Mus musculus: one gene and its partners. The protein of the gene in region 3 purifies or fractionates together with the protein of the main gene of each other region. This does not show direct contact. Links are inferred from orthologs where the notes say so. Each region holds a gene or a part of one and is shown on either strand. Other genes may lie near its edges. The genes, in order: Kat5, Mbtd1, Epc2 and Ing3.

Region 1 (5,513 bases), on a different chromosome or scaffold from region 3:
ACTTTTATATAAAAGAACTTGTTAGAAGACCTGGAGATGACTCGGTGGTGAAGATTGTACTTGCAGCATGCACTCTGGGAAGTTTACAACCAGCTCCAGCTCCAGGTGCTCCAACCCCCTTTTCTAGACTCCAGGGGCACTTGCACTCAGAAGAACAAAACCACACTTGGATACATATATGTACATAATTACAAAGGCTGGAGAGAAGGCTCAATGGTTAAGAGCACTTGCTACTCTTGCATAAGACAGGGGTTCAGGGCTGGAGAGATGGCTCAGTGGTTAAGAGCACTGACTGGTCCTGAGTTTGATTCCCAGCAACCACATGGTGGCTCATAACCATACATTTGTAATGAGATCTGGCGCCTTCTTCTGGAGTGTCTGAAGACAGCTACAGTGTACTTACATATAATAAATAAATAAACCTTTTAAAAAAAGGTGTTGGGGGGGTGGGGGGGTAGGGGGGTGGGGGTGAGATAGCTCAGTGGGTAAGAGCACCCGACTGCTCTTCTGAAGGTCAGGAGTTCAAATCCCAGCAACTACATGGTGGCTCACAACCATCCGAAACAAGATCTGACTCCCTCCTCTAGAGTGTCTGAGGACAGCTACAGTGTACTTACATATAATAAATAAATAAATAAATAAATAAATAAATAAATCTTTTTTTAAAAAAGTGTTCAGTTCCCAGCACCCACAATGCCTCCTTCTGGCCTTCACAGGCACTGTGTGTAATGGGTGCATGACATACTCAGGTGAACAGACATAAATAAATAAAATAAAATACATAAATTAAAAAAAAAAAAGCCTCACGGAGCCAAAGCAAGGAAGCAGCAATGGCTCCACCCCTGTGAGGCTGTTGTGAGTAACAGTGGTGATGCTTCAGTTCCTCAGGGGAAGACTGGATGTTCTGAAAGATGGCACAACTCAGAACTCACAAGAGAGAAAAATGCCGTGTGCTGTCATATGCCTGTTGTCATCCTTGTGACAAGTCCCAGGCCAAGCAGGGCTACACAGTGAGACTTCACCTCAGAACAAACAATAACAAAAGGCCTATTGGCTTTTCAGTACTTCTTATGCTGAACATATTTTGCACACAGATCAAATCCAAGTGTTATTATTAATGCTCCTGTGATGAAACCAATCCTTTACTTCTGCACATAAACTCTTCTCAAAGTGGCCAAATGGACCCGAAACCATTTAAACTGGGAACACTTAGAAGTAAGGCTAAAGGGCCCCACTACACCCTTTAGGCATGTTATCAATATCTGTGATAGTTATTTTTGGTTGTCCATTTGACTACATCTGGATTTCACTAAAACCCAAAAATGGAAGAACACATACGTGAACAATTTTGCCTACTCTGAAGTGGGAAAACCCACTGCTTTGTGTTTTTAAGAGGATTTCTCAGTGTAGCCCTGGGTGTCTTGGAACTTGCTCTGTAGACCAGGCCTGCCTCTGCCTCCCCAGTGCTGGCAAGCTGGCTTGGTGGAAGATCCACTTTGAATTCACATCTTTGAGGAGGGAGAACACACCTTTGTTATTCAAACCTATTCTTGTTATTCAAAGTCAGAAGATGCACCTTCTGCTGGAAACTAAAAGAAAGACATGAAACAAGATTTTCCTCCCTGCCACCCCCAGGACAGGGCTTATCTGTGTAACCCCGCTTGTCCTGGAACTGACTCTGTAGACAACGCTGGCCTCAACTCATAGAGCTTCGCCTGCTTCTGCCTCCACTGCCAGCCTGCTTTTACTCTGCCTACTTGCTCTCACTCTCGTTGACAAGTCCGCTCCTTCACTGTCATTAGCGCCTACTTCTTTGGGATTCTGATGTATAATGAAGACCAACTGAGACATCCATTCTTGTTGACTGAATGCCTACTGGAATTTTGAACCTTCCATGTATACAGCCACATATATACTATTTTAAAAATAGAAATCCAGTATTAACGGAAAAATCTTGCTAAGCCCCCAGGCCTGTGCAATCTTATGCAGACACCTGGGTGGATCTCTAAATCCCTTCAGGTCTACTGACTCCCCAGGGTTCAAAACCCCACTCCTTAGCTTCTTACTCAGGGTGACACCTCACACTGCCACTAAGAGGCTCGCCAGAACACTGCCTCTAGACAAAGCCTAAACATGATCTGAGTGACCGGCGTCGCACCCGGTGGGCGTCACGTGACAGACTCGGCGTTCCTCCAATCGCTGTGCGAGGAGCGGGGATTCCATCTAGTACTTGGCCTCAGGTTTACAACGTCCTGCTCTTCCATTCCCCAAACGGGCCGGCTTTTTGCTACCAACCAGCTAGCAGTGATTCTCAAGTGTTTCCCTTTCAAACAGCTTCAAGGGGCTCGGGCCTATAGCGCACTCAGCTCCGGAAGTGACGTCTCCCAGAGGGGCCGGAAGTGGCAGTGGAGGGAGGGAAGATGGCGGAGGTGGTGAGTCCGGTGCCCGGGGCGGGGCGGAGGGAGCCAGGGGAGGTGGGTAGAGCCCGAGGCCCCCCAGTAGCCGACCCTGGCGCCGCGCTGTCTCCCCAGGGGGAGATAATCGAGGGCTGCCGCCTGCCCGTGCTGCGGCGCAACCAGGACAACGAAGATGAGTGGCGTGAGTGACGTCGGGGGGCGGGTCCAAGGAACCTGAGGGCGAGGGGCGGGAGGGAGTCAACGATCGCACGGGAGGGGGAGGGGCTTCTGCAATCCCGGGGCGGTCGCAGATACTCGGGAGGAGGGGCGTGGCTTTTGGACGTACGGAGATGATCCGGGCGGGGCTTGGAGAGAGGTGTCACTTGGTGACTAAAGGGGTCTTGAACCAGCCCCTCTGAGTGCTGGGACACAGGCCTCCAGCCTGGAGGTGGGATTCAGGTCGAAGGGTGGAGTCTCCTGACCTGCCCTGGCTAAGACTCCCTGTCTGTGTGGTTCTCATAGCCCTGGCTGAGATCCTGAGCGTGAAGGACATCAGTGGCCGAAAGCTTTTCTATGTCCATTACATTGACTGTGAGTCCTGGGCCTGGATGGAGTGGGGTTGCTGGAGAGGGTTGAGGGCAGCCTCTGGCATTCCCTCCTGAGCCGTTTTCACTGCTGCAGTCAACAAACGTCTGGATGAATGGGTGACTCACGAGCGGCTGGACTTAAAGAAGATCCAATTTCCCAAGAAAGAGGCCAAGACACCTACCAAGAACGGACTTCCTGGGTCCCGCCCCGGCTCTCCCGAAAGAGAGGTGGTGAGTAGGTCCCCCATTTCATCTTTTCTCTCCTGCCTCTTCCTTCTTGCATCTCTTGGCCTCAGGGGTTCCTGAATGGGCAGGAGGCAGCATTCTTCTGCCATGGCTTCAGCTTGCAAAGGATGGGGACCAAGTTGCAGGCGTAGCTTCCAGAGTCCAGCACTGCCTTGCTTTAGAGAAGGCAGAGGGTGGGATTCCATGCTGAGGGGCCCATCCCCCCCTTCGCCATCCCACCACCATCCCCACCCCAGAGGAAGACCCTGGACCTATCTCTGCAGCCGGCCTCCGCCCAGGCCAGCGGGAAGACCTTGCCAATCCCGGTCCAGATCACACTCCGCTTCAACCTGCCCAAGGAGCGGGAGGCCATCCCAGGTGGCGAGCCTGACCAGCCGCTCTCCTCCAGCTCCTGCCTGCAACCCAACCACCGCTCAACGGTACCCTCAGCAATTCCAGGGACCTTGCTTTCTTCTCAGGTCCCACCTTCTCTACCTTCTGACCCACCTTTCCTGGTTTCTCTCTGCAGAAACGGAAGGTGGAGGTGGTTTCACCAGCAACCCCAGTGCCCAGCGAGACAGCCCCAGCCTCGGTTTTCCCTCAGGTGAGTCTTCCAGTCTTTTTTCATGTGTCTGAATGTTTTGTCTGTGTTTTGCATGTGTTCTACTTGCATGCCTGGTGCAGGTGGGCAGAAGAGGGCATTGGAGCCACTGAAACTGGAGTTAGAGATGGTTGTGAGCCACTCTGTGGGTCCTGGGAAAAGAACCCAGGAAGTCCTCTGGAAGATCAGGGCTCTTAACCACTGAGCCATCCCAACAGCCTGCCTGGTCTTTCCCCTCTTATTCCTTGCTGTCTAGCATCCTCCTCCAGGATCATCTCACGGTCGCTCTTTCTCTTGTGTCTTGTCCACAGAATGGGTCAGCCCGTAGGGCAGTGGCAGCCCAGCCTGGACGGAAGCGGAAATCTAATTGCTTGGGCACTGATGAGGTGGGTCTTGAGGAGCAGAGGGAGAGGGAAGCCGGGAAAGGGGGAGTGGGCTTGGGCATGGTGTTCACTCGGTGAGGCCTTAGGCAGGGAGGGTGGTGGCTGGGAGCCAAGCAGATGAACCCCTGGGCCTCTTCTACTCTCAGTTTCTCAGCCTCGCTTTATTTTGGAAGTGGAGGTTGGTGCTTTGCCCTTAGCTGATGTTAGACTTGCAGGAAGAAGCCAATGGCAGTGTCGTGCGCCACGCTCTGCTTAACTGCTACCATCTAGTATTTGCCATCTGCCTTGGGCAGGATTCTCAGGACAGCTCAGATGGAATACCGTCAGCACCACGAATGACTGGCAGTCTGGTGTCTGACCGGAGCCACGACGACATTGTCACCCGGATGAAGAACATTGAGTGTATTGAGCTTGGCCGGCACCGCCTCAAGCCGTGGTACTTCTCCCCGTACCCACAAGAGCTTACCACGCTACCCGTCCTCTACCTGTGCGAATTTTGCCTCAAATATGGCCGTAGCCTCAAGTGTCTGCAACGCCACTTGGTATGAGGGGTCTTGGGAGGCTGCCTATCCAGAGTACCCTCACCAGTCCCCACCTGATCCTCCTTTTGTCCTTAGACCAAATGTGATCTTCGGCACCCTCCAGGCAATGAAATTTACCGCAAGGGCACCATCTCCTTTTTTGAGATTGATGGACGGAAAAACAAGGTTAGTGGCTTGGGCACGGCTGGGCTGGAGTGAGTCACATGAACAACCTTTTCCTGCTCAGAACAGTTGACCATTCTGCCTATGAGCAGGTCACTGTTTTTATTGAATTCTTGACACGGAGCAGGGAATGTACAGAAAACTGGGATTTAGAGAAATTTTCTTTCCTGAGAGGTCACTGTCACGGCAGAGCAGACATGACAGCTACTCAGGTTCCAGTAACAGAGGGGGTTCAGCACAGTTCACAGGAAGCTGTCATCAGAGCTTGGAGGTGTGTGTGCCTATAATCCCAGCACTCAGAAAACTCCCGAGTTCAAGAGTAGTCAGGGGACTAATGAGTTGCAAGCCAACCTGAGCTATAAAGTAAGAAAGACCTATCCGGAACCAAAACAAAAAACAAAAAGAAGTGAGGCAGCAAAGGTTAAATATAAAACTAGAGGCATTTAAAGAACAGTTTGGCCCAGCATGGTGGTACATTTATAATCACAGCATCCAGGAAGCTGATGCTAGAGGAGTTGACATTCAAGGATAGTCTGAACAGCATAGTAAGGTCTTTTCTCAGAACCAAATAAAAAAAGGATCTTTGGTTGTGTGTGCTGGTACATCCTTTATTCCCA
Region 2 (4,722 bases), on a different chromosome or scaffold from region 3:
TGGCTTATTACGGCAGTGAAAAGTACGATTATTATTGTGGCTAATAATGACAATCATAATTTACAGTTACACAAAGCATTAAAACATTGACTTTGTTAGACATCAACTCTGATCGTTTTCTCATTCTGTTGTGTGTCTGTGATACACCATGGATGTATGTAGGAATGTGTTCTTCATTTGGAGACACAGTATTCTTCACCTTACTGGGTTTGTTTTTGAGACAGGGCTTCTCTGTGTAGCTCTGGTTGTTCTGTAACTTGCTCCATAGACCCGACTCATCTCAAACTTAAGAGATGGACTGGTTCTGCATTCTCAGTGCTGGGACCAAAGCAGTGTGTCAGCACATTAAGCCTCCACTTTTTCATTTTACCCGGACTGTGTCCTCAGCCTTTTTTTTTTTTAATTTTTTGAGACAGGGTTTTTCTGTGTAGCCCTGGCTGTCCTGGAACTCACTCTGTAGACCAGGCTGGCCTCGAACTCAGAAATCCACCTGCCTCTGCCTCCCAAGTGCTGGGACTAAAGGCGTGCGCCACCACACCCGGCCCCAGCCCTTCTTAATAAGTGTGGATTTCTCAGGATTATCATTCCAGATAGAGAGTTAATGACAGCTACTGTAAGCATGAAGCACTGTTTTATTGCTTCATTAAAGTTTTAAAAAGGGATTAACTTTACGTAGGTCTATAATTATTTCAAGAATCATTATAAGGCTCTATTCTCTAGCTGTGTGCTTGAAAACACACAGATAACGAATACCTGTCTTTCTCTTTCTCCCCTCCCTTCCTTGCTTTCTCTCTTTCTCTTCCTTTTTTGTTTTTTTTTGAGACAGGGTTTCTCTGTGTAGCCCTGGCTGTCCTGGAACTCACTCTGTAGACTAGGCTGGCCTTGAACTCAGAAATCCCCCTGCCTCTGCCTCCCGAGTGCTAGGATTAAAGGCGTGTGTCACCATGCCCAGCTGATTATTTCTCCTGTCAATTAAAACTGTTTCTTAGTATCAAGAAGGTTTGCCTTTTATGTCATACTGCACCTTTAAGCATAATACATAGTGAACATACATCAGTTCTCACAGGGATGTAATTTTCTGTGCAAGAATACTGTGACCTTAATTGTTTAACAATTAGAAAATATATGCAAACACATGGTGACCCACTTTTCTTATGTCCTTTGTATTGCTGAGACTTAGCCTTTTTCTTCTGTTTTGAAGAAGCTGATTGGCTTTCTCTTGATGCTGAAAAATAAAAGGGAACATTGGTAACAGAACAATTATACAATCTTTTATGAAGATCATCATTCTTTAAGCAATACCACTCCTGGGCATATACCCAGAAGATGCTCCAACATGTAATAAGAACACACGCTCCACTATGTTCATAGCAGCCTTATTTATAATAGCCAGAAACTGGAAAGAACCCAGATGTCCCTCAACAGAGGAATGGATACAGAAAATGTGGTACATTCACACAATGGAGTACTACTCAGCAATGAGTTTATGAAATTCTTAGGCAAATGGATGGAACTGGAGGATATCATCCTGAGTGAGGGAACACAATCACAAAAGAACACATATGGTATGCACTCACTGATAAGTGGATATTAGCCCAGAAGCTCAGAATACCCAAGATACAATTCACAAACCACATGAAACCCAAGAAGGAGGAAGATCAAAGTGTGGGTGCTTTGTTCCTTCTTAGAAGGGGGAACATAATACCCATGGAAGGAGTTACAGAGACAAAGTGTGGAGCAGAGACTGAAGGAATGACCATCCAGAGACTGACCAACCTGGGGATCCATCCCATATACAGCCACCAAACCCAGACAGTATGGTGGATGCCAACAAGTGCTTGCTGACAGGAGCCTGATATAGCAGTCTCCTGAGAGGTTCTGCCAGTGCATGACAAATACAGAAGTGGATGCTCACAGCCATCCATTGGACTGAGCACAGGGTCCCCAATGGAGGAGCTAGAGAAAGGACTCAAGGAGCTGAAGGGGTTTGCAGCCCCATAGAAGGAACAATAATATGAACTAACTAGTACCTCAGAGCTCCCAGGGACTAAATCACCAACCAAAGAATGCACGTGGTGGGACTCATGGCTCCAGCTGCATATGTGGCAGAGGATGGCCTAGTTAGTCATCAATGGGAGGAGAGGCCCTTGGTCCTGTGAAGGCTCTATGCCCCAGTATAGAGGGATGCCAGGGCCAGGAATCAGGAATGGGTGGGTTGGTGAACAAGGAGTGAGGGGAGGGGATGGGGGTTTTCGGAGGGGAAACTAGGGAAGGGGATAACATTTGAAATAAAGAAAATATCTAACAAAAAACCCATGAGCCTTACTATTTACTCAACAGCATTTATGAACAATGCATTTTCAGCCTATAATATGCAGCTCAACAGTAGTGTAGTTTAATTTGGTAACTTCTGTTTTTTTCTATTTTACTTTTATGTCACCAATATGGAGTTCACATTGCCATGGCATACACAGTCTAATTCTGTGATATTGTTGGGTCTTGGGATTTTACCTGGCAACTCATCAGACATTGATATATTCTTGTCCTGTGAGCTTGCCCTCTGAGATATGAGATAGTTCTATGGAGAATTTGCAGGTTTTTTTTTTTTTTTTTGTAAAATAAAAGAACATGTTTTCTATATAGTAACTTACACTGTGATGCTGGAGGCTGTAGTTGATATCCAGTTAACTGACACCACCCTACAGGATAGAGGTCAGGGGACTCACAGTCTACCCACTGGTCATACTCTTCTTCCCAACCATCAAAATGTATCCTCAAGAGACGGTGAATAATTCGAGTAACTGTGGCTACACATATTAACCGTGGCTCCATGAGATCTACAGCTTCTAATTTCATTCCTACACGGAATCCGTGGTTTGGAACATCCTAATACAGAGAAATAAAGTATTAACACTGGTACTCAGAAGGACACAAATGAAACATTTGAAATCATTTCCCAAAACTCACAACAGTTCCTCAGTTATCCCACCACATGGCACACACATGCGTGCACACATCACTCACACTCACACACACACACACACACACACACACACACACACACACACACACACAAAGTATGTTTATAAACTTGCTTCTTTTCCTAAGAAAAATTTTGTTGATTTAAGAAATTCTAATACAAGCCAAAGAACATTAACTCAAGAAAAATTTCCACTCTTATGTCGTGATCATGCTACCATTCACATTTACCTTATTAAATAGTTTTACTGGTGCTGCAATGGAGCCGGTTTCCCTGAGGTAGTCAAACCATTTAAAAGGAAGTTTTGTGTAACCTAAAAAAATACAAATGGTTTAGGTAACAGTTAATTTAAAATTAACATAACCTTAAGATGTCAGTAACTTTAGTACATGAAACCTCAGATTTTAGGTGGTAAAGGTAATTTCTTTTCATTTGAGATCTTAAAAAGATATATTTTTATTTTTGAGATTGGGGTTCCAAATAGCTCAGGCTAGCCTTAAATATGCTATGTAGTAGAAGGTAAACACCTCCTCCTTAGTCCTTTTGTCTCCACTTCAAAGCATGGATTGAAGACGTGCTACTTTACTTGGTGATATGAAGAGCTTCTGGTACCACATTATGAAGATGCTCCCCTGCAGACACATGTGTATGCCTCCTTATTTTAATGCAAATGTGACTTTTTTTGTTTTCTACAAGGACAGACTTCTGCCGTGTGTGTGTGCGTGTGTGTGTGTGTGTGTGTGTGTGTGTGTGTGTGTGTGTGTGCGCGCGCGCGCACCACTGGGGATCTAATTGAGGGCCTTAACATGGTAGGCAAGTGCTCCTACCAATCAAGAGCTACAACTTGCAATACTAGGTTTTAGGACAGTCTAACACTTTTACTCTTTTTTTTTCAGGAAACTAAATTAGCTGAATTACACTTTCAAAAAAATCTTTTTTTGCTTGAATCCTATCTTAGAGAAAAACCCAAGGTAAAGGTATTAAAGGTCAGTGGTTAAATCATGGGAGTTGCTAAAAACATAACTTTCTTTTTTAAAAAATAACTTTCTTTTAAAAGATGGATAGCTGGGTGTAGTTGTGCACACCTTTAATCCCAGCACTCTGGAGGCAGAGGCAGGAAAATATGTATGATCTATATAATAAGTTTCAGATTATCAAGAATACGGAAATCATATCTTAACAAAACAAACAAGCTGGGTGGTGGTGGCGCACGCCTTTAATCCCAGCACTTGGGAGGCAGAGGCAGGCAGATTTCTGAATTCAAGTCCAGCCTGGTCTACAGAGTGAGTTCCAGGACAACAAGGGCTGTCTCAAAACCCTGTCTTGAAAAACTAAAAACCAAACCAAACCAAAACCTCCTAACCACCCCCGCCCCCCCAATTTTTAAAAGGCATATGATAATCTAAAAAGAGAGAGCCTTTTTTTTAATCTTTGAAGGCTAAGTATCCATTAAGTGGACACTTAAAATACTATTTAATACCTAAAATACTAAAAAGTTCATGTGGGAGCTAAGACCAGTGGCTGCTCTTCCAGAAAAACAGGGCTCATTTTCTAGCACCTGCGTTTCCAGGGCTCTGATGCTCTCTTCTTGGCTCCTCAGGCACCAGGCACCCAGACTATACATATGGTACAGACCATACACACAGGCAAAACACCCATACCAAAACCAAAAAACAAACAAACAAAAAAACCCCAAATAAAACAAACAAACAAACAAACAAACAAACAAAAATGTATATAGG
Region 3 (4,534 bases):
CAGAAAATATTTTCACTTAAGTGTCATAAAAACCAGCAGAAGTCACTTGTCTCTTATTAAGGCTGTAACTTGATTATTATTTATATCTACAGTAGTAAATGCATATATTTATCATTATTATTACTACTGTTATTCCATGGGCATCCTAAAGAAAGACTGCAAAGCTGAGGCCAGCATGATGGCTCAGTGAGTAAAGAAAGACACTTGCCACCAAGCCTGATGACTGACTTCTATCCTCTGACTTCTGTACATACATTGTGATACGCATACACATGCTAAACACACAAATAAACATTTTAAAAGAACACACAAAAATTCAAAAACAGATTTCAATTCCATCGTGTTATACAGTTAAAAACTGCATAGGAACAAAGGAGACTGTGGACATGAACATAGAGCACTCAGAAAGATTCGCCATTGGGATTCTACTTTGCAGATGTCTGTTGTGGCTTGTATTTGCATTCCATCTTTACAGGCTTATGTTGTATTCTGCTTATGTCACTACAAGTACTCTAATACTCTTTTATCCTTTATCAGTAACAGGGGGCATCACAGAAGAGCAGTTTCAGACACATCAACAGCAGCTAGTTCAAATGCAAAGGCAGCAACTTGCGCAGCTTCATCAGAAACAACAATCCCAGCATTCCTCACAGCAGACACATCCAAAAGCACAGGTGACCTTTCACTGTCCTCTTTCTCACGTTCCTACAGGTGACTCTGCTCCTCTGTCCCCGAGTTTGAGAATTAACCCAGATTTTCTTTTATTAAGTTATCTATTTCTGAATAGCTAGTTTCTAGACTAGTCTGGTTATTTGAGAGCTAAATGTGGTAGTTTTTGTTTAGGAAGAATTACTAGTTTTTAGAAGGATTGTTGAGAGTTTATAAAATAATTAGCTATTTTTTAAACCCCCCTCATTTTTTTTCAAGAATATGGCTTTTCTAACCTCTTCATGTTTATACTTAAGTCCTATGTCAGTACAGCTTAGAAGGAGAAGGAATTCAGTTAAATTATGTGGTAAATCTAAGCTTCACAGGCCCCCTTGCCTGTGTGAATCACATTTCCCTGAAGGGAAAAAGAAATGCCACGTGCCACCAGAAGTTCCTAGACATCCATAAATACAGACACAAGTGATAAAAGTGAAAATGCTGTAAAAGACTGCAGGAACCAACCCAGCAAAAGCAAACCTTGAGATGAGCCTTGGGAGACTCCTTGTGGGCCGTGGCTGCTAGAACTGTACAAGAACACGGTACTGTTGCTTTAGGCCATTGAAAGCAAAACAAAAATAAAAGGACTTAGTCTCAAAGTTGAATTGGCAAAATAAACTTCACATTTAAGGTCTGAAATTTTGTTGTCCATAATTTTAAAGAGCAAGAATCTCTGTAATAACTAAGACTAACACCATTCAGTCACACACTTTGAGTTCTCAGACCAAGGTCTACCAACAATGCTTTAGTTCATCCTCAAGAGTCTGTCCTTTTACATTAAAGTCTTGAGTTGACACCATGGAAATCTTGATGAGCCACACCCCTGTGACAGTACTGGTAGATCTGGACTTGGCTTATAGCCTGCAGCTATCTATGTTAGTACCAGCCAGTTCTACACAGAAGCGTGGAAGAGTGGCCATTGTACTTCGTTTGGCTTGGTGTTTTTGAATCTCTTCAGGTAACTACCCTGAAGTGTTTGCAGACTGTTTCAAAGCTGAGTCCGTCTAGGTATTTACATTGTGATAGACTGGTTATGAGTCATGGCTGGGATTTCATGTCATCCAGTGTCTACTCATCAAGCAGTTTCTAAAGTATTTATTATTATGTAAGAAGATTAATAGAGCATGGGTTTTTCAGTTTGATAGTTCTTTTTCAGAAATAATTATTTTCTAGTTTCTAGTTATTTTCATGCTTCATATACCAAAAAATTCTGAAGTCTTAAATCTCTCATCTAAAAACGTATTATGACTATGTCTGATTAGAATGGCAATATCCTTTTGAGTGCCACACATTTCTTAATATCATTAATCACATCTAACAAAACAGAGTATAGGGTGCTGGCAGGGTGGCCTAGCAGGTAAAGGCACTTGCTGCTAAGTCTAACTACCTGAGTTGGATCCCTGGAATTGTCATTGTGAAAGAACAGAACCAACTCCTGACAGTTGTCCTCTGACCTCCACACACACACATGCTGTTATTCCCCCACCCCAACACATGCAGAAAAATGGAGAGTGATTAGATAGATAAATAGATGTGGAAAACTGAACTGTGCTGCTATCCGTTTTTTAGGGCTCAAGCACCTCTGACTGTATGTCTAAAACACTTGACTCAGCCAGCGCCCACTTTGCTGCATCTGCAGTGGTCAGTGCTCCTGTTCCAAGTCGCAGTGAGGGATCCAAGGAACAGAACACTGGCCACAACAATATGAATGGTGTTGTCCAGCCTTCAGGTACAACTCGGGTTTCTGTAATACTTATTAACTTAAAATTGCTACTCATCAAGTTGGGTTTGATTTTTTTCATATACACAGGGGAAATGTATACAGTGCTGTTCAGAATGCCTTGGACTGATACAAATGAATAGCTGAGTGTTTCCCAGAATTCTCACTGTACCTTCTATCTACCTATCCATCCATTCTGATTCCATTCATGACTCTCAGTTGCCTCACATGTTAGGAAAGCCATTGAGTTCATTGTTAACCACCCCTATTGGATCATCTATAAATTGTTTATAAAGTGAAATAAAAACAGCACAGTCTGTTAAAAAGTCTGAAGTCGGGTTTGCAATCCCACGTGCACATGCAGAAAGACACTTCCCCCCACTCCTCCTCTGATACGTTGCAGCTGTGAAAGCCACTTGCTGCTTACTGCCCGACCCCAAAGACGTGCTGCTTGGTCCTCTCACAGCTCCCAAGCTCAGACTTCTCTGGGTTTGTTTATATGTACTCAGGATCACTTTGTTTTTTACCCCTTTCTGTAGTCTGCCCTTGCTGATCCTGTGTGCCTATAAATCCTTAGGAAAACACAGCTATCATTTTCATCTGTCCTGTTGTATTTATCTCCAGAGTTGCCACATACAGAGGGAGCAAATGCCACATACAGAGGGAGCAAAATGCTTTGGAAATCTCCTTATATGACTGTGATATAGAAAGTTAGCTTCATATTTATTTAATTAGAATATGAGTACATTTATTTTATTACTGAGTTCCTGATTTTTTTAAACTTTTTTTTATTGTCTCATCACACTAATTGAGTGATTGTTCCCTCTTCTGCAGGACCCTCTAAAACATTATATTCCACCAATATGGCTTTATCATCCAGCCCAGGGATTTCAGCTGTACAGCTTGTAAGGACAGTTGGCCACACTACTACAAACCACTTGATCCCAGCGTTGTGCACAAGCAGTCCTCAGACACTTCCCATGAACAATTCCTGCCTGACCAATGCAGTGCACCTCAATAACGTCAGTGTTGTTTCTCCTGTCAATGTGCATATCAATACACGGACTTCAGCACCATCGCCAACAGCCTTAAAACTTGCCACAGTTGCTGCCAGCATGGACAGAGTGCCAAAGGTTACTCCCAGCAGTGCCATCAGCAGCATAGCCAGGTGTGTGCACGAGTGGGTACTGTTCCTGAGCTGTGCTCTAGCTGTCCTGAATCAAGAGAAGCCCTTTTGACTTTGTGCTGCTCAACTATATCTTTTGACAGACTTGATTTTTCAAAAGCTTGAGGATTTGCTTGCTACAAAAAAGCTCTTTGCCTAGTAGCATCCTTAAATGCCAACCAGAGTTGTAAAAAAAGAAAGCATAAAAAAGTCAAATTGACTGATTTTAAACACTTCAGTCAGTCTCATCATGTTTTAAATTTTTTTTATTTAAATAAGCTAGGTGGTAGTGGTACATGCCTTTAATCCCAGCACTAGGGAAGCAGAAGATCTCAGAGTTCAAGGCCAGCCTGATCTACAGAGCAATTTCCAGGACAGCCAGAGATACACAGAGGAAATTTTATTAAAATTATTAAACTTACTAAAAATGTTTTATATTTATTATTTTATGTGTCCGAGTGTTTAGCATGCATGCATGTGTGTGTGCGTTGTGTACATACCTGCTACCCAAGGATACCAGCAGAATACATCAGATCCCTGAGACTGGAGTTACAGATAGATGCAAGCCATTATCTGGATGCTGGAAATCAATCAAACCTGGGTCCTCTGCAAGAGCAACAGTGCTCTGACTGAGCCATCTCTCCAGCCTCCATCCTATCTCATTTTTATAGATTGAGAGTATAGGTTGAAGCTGTGATCAGAGCTTAGGTTGAAACCAAACTGTTATTCTAAGCTTTATATTTTTAAAAATAATTTTCATTTTTGTAGTATGTGTATATATATATATGTGTGTGTGTGTGCGTATAAATTTGATGAATTTTCAAGTTTTGCAGGGCAAGTTTTTATGTTCCTTTCAATAGCACTATTGCAAGGAAAACAGTAAAGCAGAAGAAAATTGATCTGCATGGGTTAAAAAGTTTATGATCTTAAGCCTATAAAAAGAA
Region 4 (5,344 bases), on a different chromosome or scaffold from region 3:
AAAGGATTCTGATCTGTAGGTTTCTGCTATCCAATTGGTTGACAGCTCTAGTTTTAAATTAGGTTATCAATTAATACCACTCAAATTATAATTTATATTTCTCCATATTATTTTTAAAAACCAAAAATTTTCTTTTCATAAAAGAAAAAAGTACCCTATGTGTTTCCACAGACAACTAGACTTTTGGGGGTATGTTCAAATTGTGCTGCATGAAAAACTTCTAGTTGAAAAGGATGGCTAGTGAACTCTAGGTTAACATACGCAAGCTCTAACCTCCTTCATACCTGGGCATTTTTACAAGCCAGGACCACTTCTCTTAGGAAAGCTGGTTTACCCCCTCCTAACAGACAATCTTCCTTACAGATGGAAGAATAAATAACACAATTGAAATTTTCAGTTCCAAGATTAATGTTTCTGTATATCCCTGAAAACTTTATATGAAGGTTAGGCGTAAGGACTTATTCTTCCTCATGTTAAAAGACTTGACCCAGGTCACACAGCTACATGGCAGTGAGGACCAAAGCCAAATCTTTGAAAGTTGTGTTCCTAGACACCACTAAAGAAAGACACCAGATCCCACACACACACAGCACTAGTGAGCTTATCTAATCTGTAATCTAATCTGCAGGACAGCCTTAAGGCCCGCAGCACTAGCTAAAATAAACTTCAGCAAGAATTACAGGAAGCTCTAAACCAGTGCTTCTCTACCTTCCCAATATTGTGACCCTTTAACAAAGGTCCTCATGCTGTGGTGAGCCTCGGCCATGAGATTATTTCTGAATCGTAATGTGTTTTCCGATGGCTTTTGGTGACCCTGTGAAAAGGTCATCTGCCCCTTGAGTTGAACTGCTGGTCTAGAATATACCAAGTGCCCCCAAGTCCCTCATAAGTGCCCTCACTCCATATCCAGGTATCTACGTAATGTTACTATCTCTCCTAGAGGGTCCCAATGTGACTGCCAATTATCCAAGGCATCACACTTACTTTTTTGATGGATGCCATCTGTTCTTCTCGCCACTCGGGTTTATTCTTCTTTGCATTCATAAAGAACTCACTGACTCTTTGTTCTAGTTGATCCATTGCATCTGACACAATAAAACATTTCATACTTAGCCGACCAAACTGCTTTGATTTGAGGAAAAAAAAAAGACATCTGACAACTCTGTTTTAGCTTATACACATTTTGTACTATAAGCAGTGGTGCCTTCATTACATTAGTTTTTAAAAAGCTGAAATATTCTGTACTGACTTTGCTATTTCAAAACATTTTCCAGTAATCAAGGTAGAGTGAATTGTACAGACAAGGATCTACGCCACAACCCGCACTGAAATCAAAGTTAATGGCATTAAGTCAGCTGGTTACGGCAATCAGAGCTGCTTACTAACAGTACTCCTGGGACGGTCTCATACTTCTTTTAATAAAAATAGTGATGACAGAGTCAACACTTGCTCCATAGCACCAAGCACCTCATCACGTCCTCTCACAGGAAGGGATAATATATGTGACCGTTGCTCACCATTTATTCACTCAACACACATGCTATTTACTCTATGTAAGGCTTCGCCAAAGCCCAGGTCAAAAATAATGACCTCAGTGGATGGCTGCTAAAAAAATAAATAAAAGGGGTTTTGTTGTGATGGAAATGGAGAAAAAATTGCCCACTATATTTATCATTTAAGCAACTTCAGAGCAGGATGGCTTTTTACAAAAGATGCTGAGATGCTCTAGTTAATCTTCATTTTTAAAACACAATTTACTTTCAGCTACTTGCTGACCTTAGACATGCTGATACTTTTAATGCCTACTCACTTTGTTTCCGAAAACTCCAGGATTACAAAGTAAGTAAACTTGAAAGCACTGTCATATGAATAGATTAAATCCAAACTATCCCAGAATTTTAAAAAAATTGAATGATTGACAATGTTTTAAATTATCCTTTATTCTAAACCTATTTGTAATGGGCATTATACATCCTAATTATCTGTATTAGTTTAAATCCTCAGAAGACTGTCAGTTTTTAAAAAAAAAAAAAAAAAGCAAACAAGCCCCCCAGGCAGCAAGGCTGGAGTTGTCCTAGTCGTCCTGTCCAAGAGTGAACCCAAATCTGTCTGCCACCAAACTCTACTCAATCCCTCTGGAATGTGCTTCGGCAGGTGTTTACTACTGCAACTACCTTAAAGTCAAAGAGAAAAAGCACACCTATTCCAGTCACAGATTTATGAGAGGCTATTGGGCAATGCACCCCAAGAGATGACCCAGAGACTGAGATGAGAAAAGTACAGTCAGGGACAAAAGGTACAGAAATGAGGGGCAGGGGCGGCAGAGGCTCATGAATGAAGAGAACAAGCCCTTAGCAAACTCAAGTTACCTTTGAGCCTCTTCCAGTCTGGCTTTTTCAAAAGAACAAGGTTCATTTTGGAAATAAGTCACATATAAAGCTGCCAAGCACTGACAGAAAAAAAAATCAATGCTAGCAATGCCTGAAAAGCCAAGCACTAGGCAGACAGAAGCAGGAAGATGAGGAGATTAGAGCAAGCCTAGGATTATTATACATATTGAGTGTGAGACCAGCCTGAATGACGTGGTTGTGTTTACAAAACAAGAAACCAGTAGGGAAGCCTATCAAACGTCTACAGTTTTCTAAAGAGCAAGCGGGTGATTTCCTTAAAATCTGATCTCTCTCACTCATTTCTGGCTGAGAAAGTGTCCACGCTGTTCACAGCTCTAAGTGTCTTCCATTAATATGCAACTTGTCAAAGTTCGGCCTTCCGAGTTCACTAGGGTCCCTAGCCTGCCCTTCTATGTCTTTGCTCTGGAGAAATTCGGAATGTAATGAACTTTTAAGTCTGAATGCAGAACTCCAAGTTTCCACATCCAGGCTCGGGTGCAAACCTTCTGAAAATCACGCGAGTTTCCACTGCGGTGCAGTGTCGTCATCTCCATGCAGTACACAAACAACTGTGTTTGCTGTGCCCCGCGTGTTAACGGTACGGTGTGCCCGCCGCCTCCTTGTCACAGCCTGAAAAAAGTAGCGCGGAGGACCCGCCAGGCGATGCCCGAGGGAGGCCGGGGCTGCGCGGGGCCGTGGAGACGCGCCACTTACTCTGCACCTGCAGATCCATCTCGCGCATCTCCGTGAAGCGGTCCCGTAGGTCCATCGGAAGCTGCTCAATCACTGTCAAAGGCACAGTCCGTCAGAGGGCGGGGCCAACGGCGAAGGGACGCGCTGGCGTCACGCGTGTGTGCGTGCGTGCGTGCGTGCGTACGGGAGGGGGGGCGGCTCACAACGAGGCTGCCAGTTACCGTGAGAAAGAAACATCCCCCGCTCCCCCTCCCTCCCGCCATCCCGCCCGCCCGGCCACTCGCGCTCCCGCCCGCCGCCGATCCCGCCCGCCGCGTCGCCGGCGCCGCGCACTCACTTTCCAAATAGTCCTCTAGGTACAACATCGCGGCCCTGACTGTTGCGGGGACGAACGGGTCCAGGGGTTTATTTGTGTCACTCGCTGTCGCCGGAGTTTTGTCCCTTCCAATATGGCGCCTCCGCTAGCAGCACCCGCTCGACTCCGGCAAAGGAAAAAAAAAAAAAAAAAAGCAAAGGAAAAAAAAAAAGGCTCCACTTTGGCGCCTGACGGCGCTTGCCTCACTGCCGCCCGCCGTTGCTATTGGCTGTCTGCAGCGATGACGTCAACCGGCCGGTGCGGATCTCCGCGGTATTCTGGGAAATGTAGTCTTCTTTTTCCCCGAGCGTGGCCATTAGTGAGGGTGTCTCTTGGAGTGGCAACTACAGAAACCACACGCCTGCGCGAAACGGGCACGCCAGAATCCGAAATGCGGTGCCTCTGTTTATTTGTTGATTTCTTACATGGGGGATGACGGGAGTTGTATGCGCCTGCCTGACACAACTAGGAACAACTTTTCACCTGTTCTGGGCGGTGATTCTAAGCCCGCCGTTTGTGAGTCATGGATTTCTGGCTGTGCTAGGCAAATAGCAAAGATTCCAAACGCTAGAATAATCGGCTAAGTTCGGAAAATTCAGGTTGTTTAGAACAGAACTCGCTGCTGGAATTTATCTTCATTATTCACTCCTGATAAATAAATGGGACAAGTGATTGGTGTCCCTGCAACGTTAAGATAATTTATAGTGAGACTGGAGCGAATGTGCATTTCCCAAATTAAAAGACACCCAAAATAGTATTCAGTAGCCAGTTATGTTTTGCGGTGTATCTTGTGTTCATTGTAAAACAACTGTTCAAATGCATCCGCAATAAAGTAAATAAATAGATGAATAAATAACAACCAACCATAAATTATAGTGATTTAATGCATTGCTGGCATATACTAACAATGATTTAAATTTATGTTGGGTAAGTAGCTGGGTTAATGTTTATAGTTCTGGGCAGGCTTTTTTAATAACCCTAGCAAATGTTCACTGGTGGTATAACAAGTGTATCACCGCCCCGTTTCTATCTTAAAAATGCCTTTCATAAAAATTCGTACACTAAATGCTTCTGTGTTTTGGGGAAAATGATCCCTTCTTAGACTATCTGGTGGATTATAACACCACACACCTGTAATCCCCTAAGTGGGAGAATTGAGACAGGAGGATTAGGAGTGTGAGCTTTGGCAACATAGGCAATTAGAAGCCAACCCAGATTATGGAAGACCCTTTCTCATACAAAAGAAAATAAATCAGTATGACACATTTTATTCACTACTCAATATTTTTATGTTACAATTTTATTTACAATGACATACTTGTATTCTCTTTTGTCTTCTTTTAAAGCCATTTTCTTATTACTTGAATGTTAAATATATTTAGTCTACACCTGTTTAATTTAAATTTTGTACTAAAACTATTTATCTGTTTGTGCTCTTTGTTCAAAAGCAGCCACGTTTGTTTACAGTGCCTAATTTCATCTGTGTTGGGGTTTTTAACTCTGAATTCACTTTTCCAGGGTTATAAATATAGAGAAATTTCACTGCTGGAGTTAAAATCGAGTTTTGCTAGAGAATATTAGCATTTGACTCTGCAACTTTGCTGCAAGACACCATCAAACTTAGGGTCAAATTAAGTTATGTAGTTGAGGTTTATTCTATTGCACCGATAGATTGAATTGGAACCTGTAATGAAAATACTTCATTATATACTCTCAAGGGAGACTTTTTCTTCCTTATTGGCCTCTTAAGTCCAAGACAAGCATGTTTTCTTAGTGGCCTCTTATATGAAAAGAGTTTATTGCTCACCTACTCTTACATAGGGACTATTCCTCTTGGGATCCTGTCTTCTATTAGACTCCTCCTTGAGAACTGATTTTTGACGTTGTCTTCTTACAGTGGCTGGAT

What was found.
Region 1: the proteins of Epc2 (region 3) and Kat5 purify together in Homo sapiens (affinity purification with mass spectrometry; 3 studies listed by BioGRID and IntAct, counting the BioPlex papers as one, with this or other methods). This does not show direct contact. The link is inferred for Mus musculus from reciprocal best matches to the Homo sapiens genes EPC2 and KAT5.
Region 2: the proteins of Epc2 (region 3) and Mbtd1 purify together in Homo sapiens (affinity purification with mass spectrometry; 3 studies listed by BioGRID and IntAct, with this or other methods). This does not show direct contact. The link is inferred for Mus musculus from reciprocal best matches to the Homo sapiens genes EPC2 and MBTD1.
Region 4: the proteins of Epc2 (region 3) and Ing3 purify together in Homo sapiens (affinity purification with mass spectrometry; 3 studies listed by BioGRID and IntAct, with this or other methods). This does not show direct contact. The link is inferred for Mus musculus from reciprocal best matches to the Homo sapiens genes EPC2 and ING3.

The regions. Positions count from the first base shown.
Region 1 is NC_000085.6:5,606,937-5,612,449, reverse strand, and holds the start of Kat5 (histone acetyltransferase KAT5), read left to right. Parts: upstream 1-2,355; 5' UTR 2,356-2,420; coding exon 2,421-2,432; coding exon of another isoform or gene 2,433-2,531; coding exon 2,532-2,598; intron 2,599-2,705; exon of another isoform or gene 2,706-2,918; coding exon 2,919-2,987; intron 2,988-3,077; coding exon 3,078-3,214; intron 3,215-3,465; coding exon of another isoform or gene 3,466-3,492; coding exon 3,493-3,648; intron 3,649-3,737; coding exon 3,738-3,812; intron 3,813-4,120; coding exon 4,121-4,195; intron 4,196-4,485; coding exon 4,486-4,734; intron 4,735-4,809; coding exon 4,810-4,899; intron 4,900-5,513. UniProt on the Homo sapiens protein: Catalytic subunit of the NuA4 histone acetyltransferase complex, a multiprotein complex involved in transcriptional activation of select genes principally by acetylation of nucleosomal histones H2A and H4.
Region 2 is NC_000077.6:93,930,384-93,935,105, reverse strand, and holds part of Mbtd1 (MBT domain-containing protein 1), read right to left. Parts: intron 3,294-4,722; coding exon 3,211-3,293; intron 2,887-3,210; coding exon 2,652-2,886; intron 1,226-2,651; coding exon 1,148-1,225; intron 1-1,147. UniProt on the Homo sapiens protein: Chromatin reader component of the NuA4 histone acetyltransferase complex, a multiprotein complex involved in transcriptional activation of select genes principally by acetylation of nucleosomal histones H4 and H2A.
Region 3 is NC_000068.7:49,545,172-49,549,705, forward strand, and holds part of Epc2 (enhancer of polycomb homolog 2), read left to right. Parts: intron 1-537; coding exon 538-674; intron 675-2,274; coding exon 2,275-2,434; intron 2,435-3,259; coding exon 3,260-3,593; intron 3,594-4,534. UniProt on the Homo sapiens protein: May play a role in transcription or DNA repair.
Region 4 is NC_000072.6:21,947,870-21,953,213, reverse strand, and holds the start of Ing3 (inhibitor of growth protein 3), read right to left. Parts: upstream 3,600-5,344; 5' UTR 3,449-3,599; coding exon 3,421-3,448; intron 3,177-3,420; coding exon 3,105-3,176; exon of another isoform or gene 2,894-3,104; intron 1,086-2,893; coding exon 985-1,085; intron 1-984. UniProt on the Homo sapiens protein: Component of the NuA4 histone acetyltransferase (HAT) complex which is involved in transcriptional activation of select genes principally by acetylation of nucleosomal histones H4 and H2A.